3 linked regions of the Coturnix japonica genome follow. The protein of the gene in region 2 interacts with the protein of the main gene of each other region in a pairwise test. Links are inferred from orthologs where the notes say so. Each region holds a gene or a part of one and is shown on either strand. Other genes may lie near its edges.

Region 1 (2,945 bases), about 43 Mb from region 2:
CATAAGCTGTAAGAATAATATATGTATGAAAGAAGAGTCTCCTTAAAACTCTTAGAGAAGAGAACCAAGTATTTGTGACTTTGGGTACTCAAACTCAGTTGAGATAACCTCTGCAGCACACAGCTCCGCATTTACACACTGTTCTGATCCTCTTTCTGGATGAGCTCAGACCATCAGCAGAATCTGAAGTCAGATCTATTGAACCTGTAACACAGATAGACACAAATAAGAACATTTGAATGGAAAGACTGAAATTGCGCTCGGAATTCAAGACAAACGGCTTCAAAAAGCTTTCTGCCACCCCAGCTCTTGAAGGAATTGTGTGTGAAGCTATGCTGAATTCTACCAACACCCACATTACAACTGCTTATCCAACACTTGTCACACATGTCAGCATCCAAAGCTCGATGAGCTCAAGCCTATAGGCATGTTGGTCAGCTGAGACCACAGTCTGCCTTGAACATCAGCATCACAAGCATCACAAAAAAAAGGGGGAGGTTTAAAGAGATTTCAATAAGGGAACTTGGTCAGTATTGAAAGAGAGCTTCGGCAAGAACATGGTTCAGCTCTGGAGCATAAAGATACTTCTTTGGAAATGAATTAGCTGGGAAAACAATATGATGTGGTTTAGTGGTTTACAAGCATGCACAGTTTGACACAGAGAACACCACTGCCAACCAGGTTCAAACATCTTATACTGTACTGGGGAAAGGAAGAAAAAGAAAATAGAATTCTTGAATGGAAAGTCGATTATCATAGAAACTGGTAACATTTTACCAAGAACATTTCTTCCCAAAGTCTCTGCATAACAATCACTATATGCACCTACGGTACCTTACATCACTCAGCAGTTGCTTCTAAGGAGATTCTCTAGCGGTTTACCTGAAATGAGAGCTTCAAGAAAAAGAAGCTTAAATATGTTTTTTGTCCTGACCATGATTCTGAGCAGTCCTGCGACCGATCTTTAAAGCAAGCTACCTTGTCAGAGGTTCCAACACAACCTCTTGATTTGAACCTGGAGTGCTGAAGGAAGTAATGCACTAGAGGTGCACACAAAGCTTCTGGTTGTGCGCTGTCAGTGAGGGACATCTAGTGAGATGCAATGCCTGACCTAAAACATCGACATTAGTCAGACTGCAACAACATCAGCCGCTGCCCCCCACTTCCCTCTAGAGCAACATAAAACCTGCAGACCTTTCATCTGGTAGTCAAAGGTCAGCTCCTCTCCAGCCTTAATGGTTCTTGTGGAAAACAGTGCTATTCGAGGAAGACGCAGGTCAAGGTTATCGATAAATACATTGAAGACTTGAAGATTTGGATCACACTGTGGAGCAAAAATTAATGAAGTTTCTGTTAAAGAAATGCACAGTAAATTTCACTGACGTATTCGGGAGAGGGAGAAATGGTGCTTAGTGACAGAAGTCTAAAAGTCAAGTCATCTGTGTTCCAAAATCAACAGTTCTGAAATAGCGTTAACGGAGACCATTCAGAGCTTAAGGCCGAGCCCTTTCAAGAAGGCAACTTTCACACAGTACAGAGACTATTAGTATATAACAGCCTACTTAAAATAATGGTAACTTCAAAATACAGCAACAAAAAAAGACAAAGGTGAAGTACTGACTAAATCCATGCAAATAATTAATAAGCTTAATAATAAGAGCAATAATATGCAAAAAGAAACCAACACAGCACCTTAAGCCACACAAACATAAATGCAGAATAATGAGTGCAAACATTGCTTCTAGGCCAGAAATAATATTCTCATACTGCAGGTAACTATTTTTAATTGCTAATCTCAGCTTTGTATTATCTGGTACAGGCAGGAGGGGAGGTGTCAGGCAAACTACATGTGAGCTATAAGCTGCTTTCTCATGTTCGACAGATGAAGTTTCAGAAGTCAATAGTCACTGAAACGCCTGTTAAACTGCAGTTAAACTACAGACGTGCTTTTTACAAGTAACACATAGTGTTACTTCAAGTCAGACTTTTAACTTTACAAGTGCAAGAATGTTTTGTTACCATTTTCAAAAGGGAAGAGCAGACCATACATAAGACTTCTCATGCTTTTCCCCATCCAGCCTGCATGAAATACCAGTGATGTCTTCAGCTCACGGATCTGAAGATGCAGTGCACTGTATTTCCAGTGCTATATTTGTAGAACAGAGTCTGCACACATCGGTAACGAGCAGATCACTATTGAACTAAACATCATTATAATTTCTTTACATAGTTAAGGTTTCGTGTTTAACGTACTTCAGTTCAACAGTGTGCCCCGGTGGTGCAGTGGTAGGAATGCTGCATTGCAACACTGGAGGCCTGGGTTTGAATCCCCCTGTGGCACAAGTGGCAGAAGTGCCGCTCTGCTACACAGGGGCTGGAATCCTGGGGGTTGGACTCGATGATCTCTAAGGTCCCTTCCAACCCGCACAAGACTATGATACTATGATACTGTGATATTGCATTCTATCATTGCACTGTGCCGTCTAACTGCCTAGATTGCACTGGCATGAAAAACTTCAGAAAGAATTGTGAATATAGTATGAAAATATCTGCAGTAGGACAAGATATTTCTGGCCCAATTAGGATAATTCTCTAAGTAGTCAGGATAGAAACCAAGGTCTTACACTGTGATTCACAAAGTGGGACACGTTTCCATATCGAGCTGCATCTACTGTAAACTCATCTGAGTCATAGTCCAAGTCAAACAAGTACGTATTTCCCTGGTTGTCATAGAACTGGCCTCGTCTCTCTGCTTCCTCACTTGTAATCACCTAGAAAAAGATAAAAACAAAGAGAAACCTGCATCATATTATTAACTATTACTACATTAAAATAAAAATCACAAGTTAGAAAAATTTTGCTTAGGAAAAATATCACATTTGTTGTTGGTTTTTTTCACGTTGAAACAGTATTTTGTGTATAATGAATAAAGAATACATGTATAG
Region 2 (4,207 bases):
CAGAGTTGGCACATTGGGTTAAAGGTCGTATCACAAGCTTCAGAATTAATACCAATCCATGTCAGACCCTCAGAAATGCCTTAGCTACGATTTCTTACATAATTAACATTTCTTACATAATTAAATAAAATGATCATCCAGCTGATCTGTAACATTTTTCTAAGGCTGTATTTTAATCAACAAGAAGAGCTGTATTAGCAGTCACCTTTCTTGCCATATAGAATGCTTATTATTGCTTAGGAATAACAGAAGTGGAAAAATCCAGCAAGATTCAGATGCAAAGAGATGTTATTATCTCTAGTTTCATCCTGAACCACAGTGGAACAATGAAAGGCTACAGATGGCAAGTGTGTAAGAGTTAGGCTTGATCCTTACAGGTACCTTACAACTTTGGATATTCAATGATTCTATTATTCTAATTGATTTGCAGTTCAGGAACTAGAGGCTGCTATAAAAACTGAGCTGGAAGTGACATGCCCGAAGCACTTTGCATCCTTGTAATTCTGATTGCAGAATAGCCCATAAATAAGAAGAAATGCAAACACCCCTGATGAGGACTGCCTGAAAGCATGCCTGGCTTAGCTGTAGAATCACAGAATAGCTTAGGTAGGAAGGGACCTTAAAGACTAAGCTCTGCTCCCCTGCAGGGTTGCCATCCACTAGAGTCTTGCTCCTGCTTATAAGTGCCTTTCCAGTTCTGGAAAGCTACAAAGAGATCTCCCCGCAGCCATCTCTTCTCCAGGTTGAACAAACCCAACTCCTCCAGTGTTTCATCACAGAGCAGGTGCCACAGCCCTCTGAGCATCTTCACGGCCCTGCTGTGGGCCTGCTCCAAGAGCTCCACATCCTCCTTGTGCTGGGGCCCTGGGCCTGGACATGCTACTCCAGAGACTGCCCTGAACCCAGAAAGTCACCCAGGACTTGGGGTGCTTCCCAGAGCCTGCAGGGTCAGTACATGGCCTGAGCCCAGTGGGGACACCCCAAGGAGCACTGCAACTGGCCAGAGACTGCCAGAGGCCCTCAAGCCCCACAGACGGAGACCAGAGGTTGCACTTTTCCCTTAATTTCCATCGCAATCCTGCTCCCTCGCAGCCAGAGTGCATCTCCCTCAGCTGCGGGGAGGGCCCACAGCTCCTTTTTGCTGTGTGGGGCACAGAGCCGTAAGCATGGTATCTGGGGCGGAGAGGAAGAGGAATCTTACATCTAGGGACTCCAGCCTCCCGCTACATACAGCTCAGTGGCCCCTGAGGAGTTAATGGCGGCAGGAAGCCGCCCCCTGCCAGCCCTGCCCCGTGACTCGCTTCCTCCCACAGACGGGAACTGGGAGGAGTGAGCGGCTCCGGCCCCGCCAGCGCAGCCAGCCGCCGTGCCCGCAGCCTGCGGACTGACTGACGGACGGACAGCCGCGGCCGCCCCCGTGGGGAGCGACGCCCGCAGCCGAACCCGGGGCCCCTCCGCCCTGCGACCCAGCGCCAAGATGCCCGCCGTGGACAAGCTCCTCCTGGAAGAAGCTCTGCAGGACAGCCCGCAGGTAGCGGGAGCAGAGCCGGCCCGGGGGGCGCGGCTGAAGCTGTGCGGGTCGGCGGGCGGGGAGCGGGTCGGGAGCGGGGAGAGAGGCGTCCGCGGCAGAGAGGGACGGCAGGGGCCGGGGGGCGGCTGCCGACCGGCGGAAGAAATGGGCAGGGGGGTTTAGCCCGTGGGATGCTCTGCGGCTGGTGGCGGCCCTGTGGCGTCGGGGGAAGGCTTTGGCTTCCTGACGGTCACCTGTCGGGGAAAAACAGGTGATGTCTGCGTCTGTGGGCAGGTCGGGGATCGACGCCTGTTCTCGTCTCCATGGCTTTTCCCTCACGCTGTCCTATCCGGAGTGTGCTGGAGGTGAGGTGTGTTTGGGCACGGCATGTTGCCCTAACTCCCTCCTGGTACGTGGGGGAAAGAGGCAACAGAAGTAGGCTAGTGAATCTGGCTGCCAGTGGCCACGCTCCTCTGCAACTTGTGAATGGTCCCAAGGACTGCACGTCAGATACAAGGGCTTCCCTCGGGGGTAAGTGGGCTGAATCCTACTGAAGGTGACCTCGTTCTAAATGAAAGGAGGCCAGGCAGTTGTCACTCTTTCCTTCCCAGTCTTTGCAAGCTCTGTGCTCCCATGCTAGCACCCACTCCTCACTGCAAAAAGCAGTAGTAGCACTGTAGAAAACCCATAGCAGAGAACATGACATGTCAAGATGGCTGGTGGGCGTTCCAGGGAGATGTGAGGCCTTGGGAGCTGGCAAGGGAGGATGAGAGGAGGGGTGGAAGAAAGAAGTAAGGGGAAAGAGAGAGTGGAAATTTCCCAGTAGGGTGGGGAAGGTACACTTGAGGTCAAAATGCAAAGCAGGCAGAGATACAGAAGTAGTGGGTGAAGCAAAGGAGAAGAAAGAAGGGCAGGGTGGCTTTGCTTGGGTGCTGCTCCCAAGTATCCCCATACTGTAACTGGAACTCATCTGCTGATGGGCCAGGAGGAGGAATCAACAGGCAAACTGTGGAACAGATGGCTAAAAGGTGTTACAGAGTCTGTCATGAGACATTTGAAGGAAAGATTGGACTTGCACCTGTCAGGAGTTAAGGAGTCTTAAGGCTCATCTTGAGCACTTCTTAACCTTTTTTCCTGTGATTTCATGAAAGCTTACCTTAATAAGAATGATTTTTTGTCAAATATTGATGTGTCATGGAATCTCAAAGCTTGAGTATTTTCAATACTCAACTGGGAACAGTATTGAAAAGCCTGATGCCTGCTTTGAGCAGGGGTTGGACCAGAGGGCCTCCAGAGTTCCTTCTGACCTGAACTGTACAGTATTCCACTCTGTACCAAAGTGTGCTAGATTTATTATGAGCAGTTATTAATGTTTTTAATAGCAACCTCCCCTGTGTATTATGGAGCTAAAGAACTTGACACACAGGGTAGGTGAACTCATTTTCCTCTTCAGTCAACGCTTCCTTCGATGATTAAAAATGTAACACTGAGTGAAAGCAGCTGAACAAAGCACCAGATTGAATTTGGAGGTCTTAGTCTTTCTTCTGACCTGAAGGCTGTTAACAGATCCTTTTCAATTACTGGAAATACTGGGCTGTGCATAAACCTGGTTGTTTGCAGGTTGTTTTGGCTTGGGTTGGTCATCACTTCTTCAAGTTCTGTAACTTTTCCCTGTTCCTCTCTGAGCTGGATACTACAAAATCGAAGCAGACACAGTCTCTCTCCCACAGAGCTTGCAATGTAGAAACTTATATGATCATACTTACACATAAAGTGACCTGATTCTCTTCAGCCTCATGCAGTCACTGACAGAGGGGTAATAAAATGAGGACATAACCTCATGTTTTAGAAAGTGCATGAGGTATGCAAATTAATAGATGGTCTTAATGGTTCCTTCCAGCCCAAATCATTCTGTGATTCTATGGTTCAGGCAACTGCTTTTTAATTTGGAGGATGTTGATTTTGAGTTATTCAGGACTGATACAATCTTGATTGGCAAAAAATAAGCATCTTGGGAAAGTACCTCTTGTTAATGTGGTGGAGCTACTTAAAACCGTGTTAAGGCTCTCCAGTAAGTTTGCCACATTGGCACCTGGGTACTTCAGAGATATGAGAAGGCTGCTGTAATAGGAGGATGGATAAAGTGCTCCCTCTGTTAATAGTAAGGTAGTGGAGTTTATGTGTGCCCCTCAGGTAAGCAGATGAATCTAATTGGAGCAGAATAAATTAGCTGTGCAGATGGGAAGACATTGCTAGTTAGCATCAAACTCATTGGATTTACCAACGTTAAGACTAAGGATGAATTGTGACTTTGTTAAAGGGGCTTTGTCTCATTTAGTGACATTGCAATATTGTGTACTGGAGCTCAGTGTTACTCTGTGTTATTTTACTTCCCCATTTCAGAAGCAACATACTTCACAGTTCCTGATGATTCCACCAAAACAAGCCAAGGGGATTCATGTCTTTAAGATAATACTTGTGGCTATGCTCTTTTTTCCACTCAATTTGTTGCCAAGCTGGCAGAATGGAGAAAGTAGGGGGTATCTCTGAATGCGTGCGTACTTGTGTGCCTGCTGTTGTAGGTGAGCACTCAGTTGTTTGGTGTGGTTATGTCCCCTAGCTTTGTCAGTGGCCCTTTAAGAGTTGCTCAAGACAGCTGAGAGTAAATAATACTCTGTAAATTACCTAATGGAAAGG
Region 3 (3,630 bases), on a different chromosome or scaffold from region 2:
CCTCCATCAGGGAGATGGAGACCCCGAGGCATGGGCCAGAAATGAAGTCCTGCCAGCCAGGAGCTCCTGTACAAGAAACCAGCAGATGGCAACAGCACCTCGCTCTGTTCCAGCCGCTGCTCAGTTGGGAGCCGGTAACAGTTGTCCAACGGGTCCCTCTCGCTGCTGGGGAATCCAGAAGCACCAGCAAACCATCCTGGAAGCGATGGGATCTCTGACATCTCATGAGGGTTCTGAGCTCCTCCAGCACATGAACAGCCACACAGAAACATGACATTAGCATCTTTAGATACTAGAGGCATTTGCTGACCAATATTTGAGCACACTATCTCTAAGTTCACCCAGCTGTCGTGTAAACTCCCCATTCCTATGCATACTGCTCCTCCCACCTCTCCTCAGCTCCTGCTATAGCTAGTTAGCCCAGAAGTGCAGTGATGAGCAGTTCTCACTGTTTACCTCAATCATGCTGCTGTACACTGTGATGAGCCAGCAAACCAGCTCCAGCTCCTCATAACAGACAGGGGCTCTGCAGCTCCATGCGGGAATCCCTCCCTCACCTTGCAGAGCTGGGCCTCACCACGCCTGTTATGTTCTGCTCCACTCCGCTCCCCTCCTGCTTGTTAAGAAACACGAACATTGTTGATCGTGGTAGGTTTATAAAAATTTTCCTTTAATCACACAAAACTGAAGTTTGTGATGAAGAGTAGCTTGACAGTTCCTCTTAAATACCAGTATGCATAAGACACTGCATTAGGCACTAGGCAGCAGCCAACATCAGTTAGAGTCTGGCAAGAGAAGCCATTTTAATACCTCCCTTCACACCGTGTGGGATTACAGGCTTTTGCAATACACAGTTTTCACTGACAGGTCACCCGAGGTTTCCCCTGCCCCACTTCTGTACATCAGTAAACCACGTGTATTCACACCAGGGTGGGGTTAACATTCGTGGCATCACAACCATCAAAAAAAGACAATTTTCTATACAAGATTCTCTTTTTCTTTTTTTTGCAAAAGTTGCAACAGGATGAGTGCAGTATGACAGAACCAGAGAGAAAAGAAGTTGGCATGCGAGAGTCCAACACAAATGAAGACAACAGGCAGCTAGTTGTATGTTCTATATTGACAAGATACTGATTGGTTACATGAAGAAACATACAATACAAAATACAGAAGAAATCAGTTTTTCTTCCCTCTGCCCCACCCCAAAATACTCATAATTGATTTGGTCAATAAGTGGCTGAAGAGCCGGAGTTTGTCACTATAATGCTACAGTTTAGTGGTTGTTCTAGGCATATCGTACTGGTATTCGCCTCAGCTTTTACACGTGGGTAACTTTAAACAAGGCTGTCTAGTCTCAATATCCCTTTGTTTCCAATAGTGAACTACAGTACTGTGGGACCTGGGTGCTGCTGGCCCTCACCCGTGGGGAGGGATGAGCTGGCTGGGCAGACACCAGGTCGTGCATCCACCACCACCAGGAAGAGGGAAGAGCAGAAGTTCATATATTAAAAAAGTGACTTAAGACTTAGAATTGAATTAGTATTTGTACAGAAAGGTGCAGGTGGAAGAACTCCCTCCAGCCTATGATCAGAAAGGGATGGAGAAATCACAGCAGCCACCGGCAGCAGCTGCTCTACGGTAAGTGCGATTGTTAGCGTGGATTCCAGTCACGTCCTTCGAGGGCTCCATCGGGCGAGATCAGCTGCTCAATTGCTGCAGCACTGGCTCCTGCTGGGCTGACTGCTCTCCTGAAGGTCGACCACCCGATTCCTGCCCGGACCACCTGGAGCATTCTGGGGTTCATTTTTTGGCAGTTTCTTGGCTAGGAAAGAAGCAAGGTATCAGCAGGTCGCTCTTATAGAGGCCAGCCTCCTCCCCACTGCAGACCACACGCTGAGCTCAGCTCTACTCCAGCCTCCAGCTCTCAGGACACTGCTGGCAGCACAAGTACATTAAACCTGCTTTTAGCTGTCACCAATTCTGCTCCACCCTCATTCACTCCAGATAAAGGGAGAGAGGGAACAAGGTTTGCACTACCTGGGTGACCACACACACAGGTCTAACAACCTGGTCACACATAAACTCCAGTAAGAGCCTCCAGAACCCAGCTGACACAGACCCTGTGGTTTTCAGTGGGCTGTACTGCCAGTGCTCAGAGCTCCTCCAGGCAGCCCTTTCACACCACACTTACCTATTGCCATGAAGATTTCATTCACATTCATTGCTGTCTTGGCCGACGTCTCCATGAACAACAAGCTGTTGTCATCTGCATAAGCTTGTGCATCCTAGAAACAATAACGTTAGAGTGATAAAGGCATCCTGCCAGGAGGAGGCACATGCAGGCTCCGCATACTCCACTTGCTGGCATTATTAAACACTGAAGACAGCCTCTGCCCAGCCCAAACTGGGCACCTCCACCCCAGCCCAAGCCCTGCCTGGCCAGGACAGCTGATAGACGTGCAGTACTGACAGGAGCACATGGCTGAGGTGCCAGCATCAGAGCCAGGATACAGCAGCACAGATTGTTTGTGAGCTACATGTGGACACTATGTCTCAAGCAACTTAACACCTTGTACTTTGGTTGGCTGGGAGTTTAACACACCTCAATGTGAGAGCTGCTTTCCCGGCTGCTCAGGTAGCAGCTGAACCACATTCCCACTTACCTGGAAATCCACAGCTCTCTTGGTAGCAAGGTCTGCCTTGTTTCCTGCTAGTGCAATTACAATATTGGGGCTGGCCTGCCTCTGCAACTCTTTCACCCAGTTCTTGGCTCGTACAAATGTGTCCTGGAAGTAAAAAGGAGGCAGTCAGGAAAGGCAGCCTCTTAATAATGCACAATGAAGATATGATTAGAACAAGTCTTTCCTGTAAGAAGCATTCTGCTTCTACAGCACTTTGTAGCAGGATTCTTTATCAGCTTAGACAGCCTTGATCAGAAACAAGGAAGTGGCGAGTTTAAGAAACTCAGTACCTGCAGGCAGGCATCTGCAGCAGCCCTAAGCCCAGAACTCTCCCATGGAACAGAGAAGCATCAGATATAAGTGCAGATGCCTCCCTCCCAGCAGACACTTCAGGCCCTGGTGCAGTACTCACTGTGTTAGTGATGTCGTAGACAACAATGGCTGCCTGAGCACCTCGGTAGTACATGGGTGCCAGGCTGTGATACCGCTCCTGTCCCGCCGTGTCCCATATTTCAAACTTCACCGTTGTGTCATCCAGACAAACTGTCTGCGTTAGGAAGGCAGCTGAAAGAGAAGAGATGTTTGCCTTGTCTCCAGCTGGAGAGCTCCTCCAGCAAGAGCCAGCAGCTCAGAGCAGTTCTGCTTTTGCACAAGAGCTGGCAGAAGCCCCAGCCAGGCCAGCACACTGCCACCTGCTGTGCAAGTCACAGCTCTGCTGTGTTACAAGCTACTTATGTGAGGGAACCAGAGAGCCACCAGGCAGCAGGCTGCCAACAGAAAGGTGGCTCCGAGCACCCAGCAAGCAGCCTGACATTACACTGCTACCCACCCCCAGGGGTCACCACCCAGACCACACAATACAGCTGCAGCACCCTGAGGATTAGCTTCACAGAGTGCCTCAGTGCCAAAGCACTGCAGTCAGCCCAGTTACACTGCACTCCTTGGCCTA

The links.
Region 1: the proteins of APPL2 (region 2) and SUV39H2 interact in binary tests that used the Homo sapiens proteins (3 or more experiments, as listed by UniProt). The link is inferred for Coturnix japonica from reciprocal best matches to the Homo sapiens genes APPL2 and SUV39H2.
Region 3: the proteins of APPL2 (region 2) and RAB5C interact in binary tests that used the Homo sapiens proteins (3 or more experiments, as listed by UniProt). The two-hybrid records come from large-scale screens. The link is inferred for Coturnix japonica from reciprocal best matches to the Homo sapiens genes APPL2 and RAB5C.

What each region holds. Positions count from the first base shown.
Region 1 is NC_029516.1:6,627,693-6,630,637, reverse strand, and holds part of SUV39H2 (histone-lysine N-methyltransferase SUV39H2), read right to left. Parts: intron 2,772-2,945; coding exon 2,625-2,771; intron 1,325-2,624; coding exon 1,195-1,324; intron 1,112-1,194; coding exon of another isoform or gene 1,041-1,111; exon of another isoform or gene 205-1,040; coding exon 95-204; 3' UTR 1-94. UniProt on the Homo sapiens protein: Histone methyltransferase that specifically trimethylates 'Lys-9' of histone H3 using monomethylated H3 'Lys-9' as substrate.
Region 2 is NC_029516.1:49,570,382-49,574,588, forward strand, and holds the start of APPL2 (DCC-interacting protein 13-beta), read left to right. Parts: upstream 1-1,301; 5' UTR 1,302-1,477; coding exon 1,478-1,531; intron 1,532-4,207. UniProt on the Homo sapiens protein: Multifunctional adapter protein that binds to various membrane receptors, nuclear factors and signaling proteins to regulate many processes, such as cell proliferation, immune response, endosomal trafficking and cell metabolism.
Region 3 is NC_029542.1:4,451,971-4,455,600, forward strand, and holds the end of RAB5C (ras-related protein Rab-5C), read right to left. Parts: intron 3,246-3,630; coding exon 3,094-3,245; intron 2,787-3,093; coding exon 2,664-2,786; intron 2,286-2,663; coding exon 2,192-2,285; intron 1,823-2,191; coding exon 1,707-1,822; 3' UTR 650-1,706; downstream 1-649. UniProt on the Homo sapiens protein: The small GTPases Rab are key regulators of intracellular membrane trafficking, from the formation of transport vesicles to their fusion with membranes.